Sus scrofa: one gene and its partner. The protein of the gene in region 1 interacts with the protein of each later gene in a pairwise test. Links are inferred from orthologs where the notes say so. Each region holds a gene or a part of one and is shown on either strand. Other genes may lie near its edges.

Region 1 (3,747 bases):
CACAAACTTTACTCAGCCTCAGGTTCTTAAAAGACCCTCATAAAATGTCCCATTGTGGCGCAGTGGAAATAAATCCAACTAGGAACCATGAGGTTGCAGGTTCGATCCCTGCCCTTGCTCAGTGGGTTAACGATCCCGGTATTGCCGTGAGCTATGTTGTAAGTCGAAGACGCCCCTCGGATCCTGCGTTGCTGTGGCTCTGGCACGTAGGCCGGCAGCTACAGCTCCCATTAGACCCCTAGCCTGGGAATCTCCATATGCCCTGGGAGCGGCCCAAGAAATGGCAAAAATAAAATAAAATAAATAAAATAAAATAAATAAAATAAAAAAATAAAATTAAATAAAATAAAATAAATAAATAAAATAAAGTAAAATAAAATAAAATAAAATAAAAAATAAAATAAAATAAATAAAGTAAAAAAAATAAAATAAAATAAATAAAATTAAAAAATAAAATAAAATAAAATAAAATTCAGGAGTTCCCATCGTGGCTCAGGGGTTGACGAAACCGACTAGGAGCCATGAGGTTGCGGGTTCCATCCCTGGCCTTGCTCAGTGGGTTAAGGATCTGGTGTTGTTGTGAGCAGACGCGTCTGCTACCTACCTGTGGTGTAGGTAGCAGACGCGGCTCAGATCCCGCGTTGCTGTGGCTCTGGCGTAGGCCGGCAGCTACAGCTCCGATTGGACCCCAAGCCTGGGAACCTCCATATGCCGCGGGAGCGGCCCGAGAAGAAAAAAAAAATTAAAAAGGAATTGTACTTCTGAATGTATACAGAATAAGCAAGAAACTGACGCCCTCTGAAGGATGAAGAGAGGGGTGTTTTTTCTTCTTAAATGTAAAAAGCTTTTTAAACGTTTAAAAAGTTGCATCTTCTGCACATATAATTTTAGAATTTCTCTTAGTTGATGGCACCATTAAAACAATACTGTATCGCCCTCTCTTTGTGCCCCCATCAACCCTAAAGTCTCGAAGGGACGCTCGAGGACCCGGGAGAGAGGAAGGCAGGACCCCGGCCTCCCCGCGGCGGCGGCGCGCGGCACACCCCTCCACTCAGGGCAGAGAGGCGTGTCCGCGCCATCCTGAGCAGTGGCCCGTTAGGTTCTAAGGAAGCCTGGACTCCTCCCTTCGTACCAGTTCTCAATCATCTCCTTAATGGCATTAGCCGGCCGCTGGATAACCTCCCCTGCCGCGATGCGGTTCACCACTGTCTCGTCCAACCGCCGGATAACTCCCGGTACCTGCGACATTTTGGCGCCAGAGCAGGCCGTGTAACGGTGAGACGCTCACTGGAAGGGCTTTCAGCCAATCTCCTTAGAGCTTCGCACCCACATCCTTCCAGCAACACTGCTGACGCCGTCCCGTCCCGCCCTCTAGCGGCAACACCACTTCCGGGACAGAGAGGTACTGATTGGGCATCTTGAATGCCAGTCAAGTTCTTAGCTCCATGATTCCTGTTCTCTTAGCCCTCCTTAGGCGGCTTTAGTGCACTTTGCAGCGAGAAGGATATGCGCCTGCGCGCTAAAAATCAGTGTCCGCTCTTCCTATTGGCTCATGCTTGCGGCAGGGGAATACGAAATCTCCAGCCAATAGGAATCAAGGTGCCGGAACCCCAGTGGTTTCCCCAGCTGGGGTGATCTGGCGCAGAGCGGAGTTGGCGCTTGGGGATCGCTCCTGCTCCTCCCCTCTCCTTGCGGCCTCCGGGAGGTCGGCCCAGATCCAGTGGTCTCCCGTGAGATGTGGATGACGCCCAAGAGGAGCAAAATGGAAATCGAGGAGCCTCGGGGTTTCCAGGCCGAGTGGACTCAGCGTTACCTGGTTGTGGAGCCTCCGGAAGGCGAAGGCGCCCTGTGCCTGGTCTGTCGCCGCCTGGTCGTAGCCAATGGCGAACCCGATGTCAGGCACCACTACGAGGCGGAGCACGATTACTACGAGCGGTATGTGGCGGAGGGCGAGCGCGCGGCCCTGGTGGAGCGTCTGCGTCAGGGCGACTTGCCCGATGCCGCCCCGCTCACCCCGGAGGAGAGAGCTGCTCGTGCAGGCCTCGGGCTCACCCGCCTCTTGGCCTTGAAGGGTCGCGGCTGGGGTGAGGGGGACTTCGTGTACCGGTGCATGGAGGTGATGCTCAGAGATGTGCTGCCTGATCACGTAGGCGTTATGGATGGCATTGATTTATCTCCGGAGATCACGCAGCAGAGGGTCCTAGACATTAACCAGAATCTACGCAGTCAGCTTTTTAACCGAGCCAAGGACTTTAAGGCCTATTCCCTTGCGTTGGACGACCAGGCTTTTGTGGCCTATGAGAACTACCTCCTCGTCTTTGTCCGCGGCGTGGGCCACGATTTAGAGGTGCAGGAAGAGCTTCTGACCATCATCAACCTGACTCAGCACTTCAGTGTTGGTGCCCTCATGGCGGCAATCCTTGAGGCCCTGCAAACTGCAGGGCTTAGCCTGCAGCGGATGGTTGGACTGACCACGACCCACACTCTGAGGATGATTGGTGAGAACTCAGGGCTGGTGTCATACATGAGAGAAAAGGCTGTAAGCCCCAACTGTTGGAATGTTATCCATTATTCGGGGTTTCTTCACTTGGAACTGTTGAGCTCCTACGATGTGGATGTTAATCAGATCATAAATGCCATATCTGAATGGATAGTTTTGATTAAGACCAGAGGCGTTAGGCGGCCAGAATTTCAGGCTTTACTAACTGAATCGGAATCAGAGCATGGTGAAAGGGTTAATGGACGCTGTCTGAACAATTGGCTTAGAAGAGGGAAGACCTTAAAACTAATATTTTCTTTAAGAAAAGAGATAAAAACATTTTTGGTTTCAATAGGGGCAACAACGGTCCATTTCACAGACAAGCAGTGGCTTTGTGACTTTGGCTTTTTGGTGGATATTATGGACCACCTTCGAGAACTCAGCGAACTATTGAGAGTAAGTAAAGTCTTTGCTGCTGCTGCCTTTGACCATATTTGTACCTTTGAAGTTAAGCTGAATTTACTTCAGAGACATATCGAGGAAAAAAATCTAACACACTTTGCCGCCTTGAGAGAAGTTGTTGATGAGCTTAAAGAGCATCTTCAAGAAGATGAAAAAATACTTGATCCTGAAAGGTATCAAGTAGTGATCTGTCGCCTACAAAAAGAATTTGAGAGACATTTCAAGGACCTCAAGTTCATTAAAAAGGACTTAGAGCTTTTTGCAAATCCATTTAGCTTTAAAGCTGAATATGCACCTATTTCAGTAAGGGTGGAGCTAACAAAACTTCAGGCAAATACTAATCTTTGGAACGAATACAGAACCAAAGACTTGGGGCAATTCTATGCCGGACTGTCTGCTGAATCTTACCCAATTATCAAAGGGGTTGCCTGTAAGGTAGCATCCTTGTTTGATAGTAGCAAGATTTGTGAAAAGGCTTTTTCATATTTGACTCGAAACCAGCACACCTTGAGCCACCCATTGACAGACGAACACCTCCACGCCCTGTTTCGGATTGCCACCACTGAAATAGAGCCTCAATGGGATGATCTTGTGAGAGGAAGAAATGAATCGAATCCATAAGCTTTTGTAGTACAACACCGAAACACTCAACAAGAATCCAACTCTAAAAGCAAAAATATGTTTGATTTTCAACTTTACTAATTTGGATTGTGGGAGAGTACCATGTTTTTTCACCCAAAGTGAAAAAACTTTCATCGCAGACATTTTTCACAATTCAAATGCTTCAGACAATTTTTTTTTCCTCT
Region 2 (3,647 bases), on another chromosome or scaffold:
GTGAGGGCTTCACTTCGCTTTTGGCCCAGCGTGGCCGGTGGGTGTCTGATGGGGCCAGGCAAGAGGGCCAGTCAAGGAAGGCAGGGGAGGACCCAGGAGGGGCTCCTGCCTGAGTGAGGGCTGCCTGCTTGTCCTCGAACCCAAGCAAACACTGGGTGAGCGCCTGCAAAGGGAGAGACTGTGGCCCAAGACTGGCAGTGGGGAGGGCACTCCCGCTCTAGTGTCTGTGCGGGCTGGCTACTGGTAGGGAGGAGTCTGGCTGGAGTCAGACAAGGGTCCAGGCCCGGCTCTGCCTGCACTGGCTGGAGAGTCCTGCGCAAGTGTCACAGCCTTCCTGGGCCTGTTTTCTCGTCTCTAATGCGGGGACAACACGCTGGCTTCAGGGGCATCTTTCCGTGTTTCTCCTGTCTTCACATGGACCCTGACGCTGTGTCTAGGACAGGGCAGGCATGCGAGAAACCGCTCTTCGTTCTCGAGCAGCATACTCCTCGGCTAGTCTCTGGGCCCCCTGCGAGGCCGGCCCTATTCAGACAGGCCTGGTGTGGGATTCTGGGCAACCTCCCCTTAAAATGGTTTATAACCATCAGGCAGTGCTGAGAATGGACCCCTAAACTCCTAGAGAAAAGCTCCCCCTGAACCACTGATCTCCAGGAAGTGAAAGAAGCTGTTACCAACCAGAGTCAAAGGCCACATTAAATTGTCAGCTGGCCATGTGAGCGCTGGCAAGTCACTTTTCCTCTCTGGGCTTCCGTGCTTTTCCAGCGGTGAGAGCCTGATGACGCGACATGGAGGGCCCTTCCAGCTCTGGCCTCCCTGCGGTCTGTCTCCGGACACGTCCGTGCAGAAGCAGACGCCAGTTTTCCCTTCTCCCAGGCTAGCCCAGGCCCTGGATAAACTCGGCAGTCAAATCAATAACATCAAGCTGTTTCCTTCTGAGTTTCCTTCTGCTTCCAACCCTAGAAATAGTGTGGTCCTGACTGCACACTGAGCTACCCCTATTCCCCGGGGTGTGAGGGCCTCTATGGTTCTTTCAGCCAGGGAATTGTCAACAGCATGCTTTGGCCTCAGGGCGGTTCCAATGGCTTTCTGGTCTCCCGGGGCTCAGGGCACTCCACTTGTTTCATTCCAGGGCAGTGGGTAACCAAGTTTGACTCCAGGAAGACGTCGCTGGAGGATTTCCACTTGGATGAGGAGAGAACCGTGAAGGTGCCCATGATGTCAGACCCTAAGGCCGTTTTACGCTACGGCTTGGATTCTGATCTCAACTGCAAGGTCTGTGGGGGCAGCGTGAGTGGTGGGTGGGGGGACAGGCAGGACAGTGCAGTGGAAATGGAATGACCTGTGAGATCGGACAGGCTTCTACATTTTGCCCGCTGTGTGACTTTCATCGAGTTAATAGCATCTCTGAGCCTTTCTTCTCCTTTTTGGCCACCCTGTGGCATATGAAGTTCCCGGGCCAGGGGTCAGATCCGAGCTGTAGTGGCGACCTAGGCCTCAGCTATGGCGATGCTGGATCCTTAGCCCAATGTGCCAGGCTAGGGAATGAACCTGTCCTAGCTCTCCCAAGACACCACTGAGCCTGTTGTGCCACAGTGGGAATGCCTCTGAGCCTTTCTTCTTAAAATGAAAGGGTATAGCTATTGAAACTTACATTCTCACTCAGGGTTTGTTGTAAGGGTTAATAAGGTAATGTGAAATGAGCCCCCAAGATTGAGCACTCAAATACCGCTGTTTTCTTGTCTTTTCTTTCCTTCTTTTTCTTTTTTTTGGGGGGGCAGGCGAGTGGATCTTGTATATTTAGAATTCAACACCAAAACAGTCACAGACGCCGTACTGTGGGCATTCTAAGTCTTTTACATAAACCTGACTTTTGAAAATTCTAAGTCAGTCATTATTTTTATTTATTTATTTATTTATTTACTTGTTTTTTGTCTTTTTAGGGCTGCACCCAGGGCATATGGAGGTTCCCAGGCTAGGGGTCTAATCGGAGCTGTAGCTGCCAGCCTACACCACAGCCACAGACACGCCAGATCTGAGCCGCATCTGCGACCTACACCACAGCTCACGGCAATGCTGGATCCTTAACCCACTGTGCGAGGCCAGGGATCGAACCCACAACCTCATGGTTCCTAGTCGGATTTGTTTCCGCTGTGCCACGACTGGAACTCCTATTACTTTTTTAAAAATGAGAGTTGCAACATTTATTTCAGATTCTTCCTTTTTTTTTTTTTTTAATTTTTTGCCACACCTGAGGCATGGGATCAAACCTGTGCCACATAGCAGCAACTGGAGCCACAGAGGTGCAAACACAGGCACCTTAACCCTCCAGGCCATCAGAGAACTCCCTAAGTCAGTCGTTCTTAGCCTGAAGCACTGGAGAGAAACGCCATGTTTCTGTAAATGATTCAGGGGCTGCTGGGACTCCGAAGCCATTTGTCCCATGGATTGAAGAACCTCTGCTCAAAGGACCATTGTATTGCTGCTTCTATGTTGCAGTGCCTAATGCCCCCATTTCTAGTCCAGGGCTCTGTACTTAAGAGATAATCAGTAACTGCTGGCAGACAAACTTTGGGAGAAAACAGACCTGGATTCAATTCTAGCTCTAGAACCACAGGAGAAAATTCTTTCCGCAGATACCCTCAGTTGGTATCAGGCTGATTTTGAAGAAACCTTAGTAGACATCTTGCTGCGGGAAAGCAATAGCTTAGAGGGACAAGTGTTGTTCGGATGAGGGGCTGGGAGGCGTGGCGGGGCCTGGTCACAGGAGAGGAGAAGGCGGCTCAGGGTGTGTGTCTATCCCTAGGCTCCTGGGCTCCAACGTACTAACCCATGTGCTTCCTTCCTGTGGCTGCAGATCGCCCAGCTGCCCTTGACCGGAAGCATGAGTATCATCTTCTTCCTGCCTCTGAAAGTGACCCAGAACCTGACCATGATAGAAGAGAGCCTCACCTCTGAGTTCATTCACGACATAGACCGAGAACTGAAGACGGTTCAAGCGGTCCTGACCGTCCCCAAGCTGAAACTGAGTTACGAAGGCGAACTCACGAAGTCTGTGCAGGAACTGAGTAAGTCTGCAAGTTCTCTTTGCTCTTGGGGTGGCTGGGGTGGTGGCTTTGGACCTTCGACCTTGCTGAGCAGAAGTCGAGGGCTCCATGGCCCTGTAGGAAGGCCAGGGATTCCTTAATTCTAACAGTGCTGGCGGGCAAGACTGAACTGCCTCCCTTATCACACTCATTCCTCAGCCCTGAGCACACTCCCTGTAACAGGAACTCAGAGCAGCAGCGCCTCTCAAGATAGGTCTCTTGACCTGATTTCTAATCTTAACCCCACCTGCCATGTGCTCTTGGGCAAGTCTCTTAACCCTTAACCAGCCCAGAGCTACATACCTCCCAGAAGGACAAAAGAAGTGTTCCCCTCCCAGCTTGCGTGCCTTCTTGAGAATCAGGATTTAAGGATCAGGACAGTATTCTTCCTTGGAGTGCTGACGAGGCCAGGTTTCTCTAACGGAAGGAAATCTCTCTCAATCTCTGCAGAGCTGCAATCCTTGTTTGATTCACCAGACTTTAGCAAGATCACGGGCAAACCTATCAAACTTACTCAAGTGGAACATCGCATTGGCTTTGAGTGGAACGAGGATGGGGGAAGCG

Evidence for each region.
Region 2: the proteins of EPM2AIP1 (region 1) and SERPINF1 interact in binary tests that used the Homo sapiens proteins (3 or more experiments, as listed by UniProt). The two-hybrid records come from large-scale screens. The link is inferred for Sus scrofa from reciprocal best matches to the Homo sapiens genes EPM2AIP1 and SERPINF1.

Annotation. Positions count from the first base shown.
Region 1 is NC_010455.5:21,876,411-21,880,157, forward strand, and holds the start of EPM2AIP1 (EPM2A-interacting protein 1), read left to right. Parts: upstream 1-1,452; 5' UTR 1,453-1,735; coding exon 1,736-3,562; 3' UTR 3,563-3,747.
Region 2 is NC_010454.4:47,955,556-47,959,202, forward strand, and holds part of SERPINF1 (pigment epithelium-derived factor precursor), read left to right. Parts: intron 1-1,129; coding exon 1,130-1,272; intron 1,273-2,854; coding exon 2,855-3,065; intron 3,066-3,533; coding exon 3,534-3,647. UniProt on the Homo sapiens protein: Neurotrophic protein; induces extensive neuronal differentiation in retinoblastoma cells. Potent inhibitor of angiogenesis.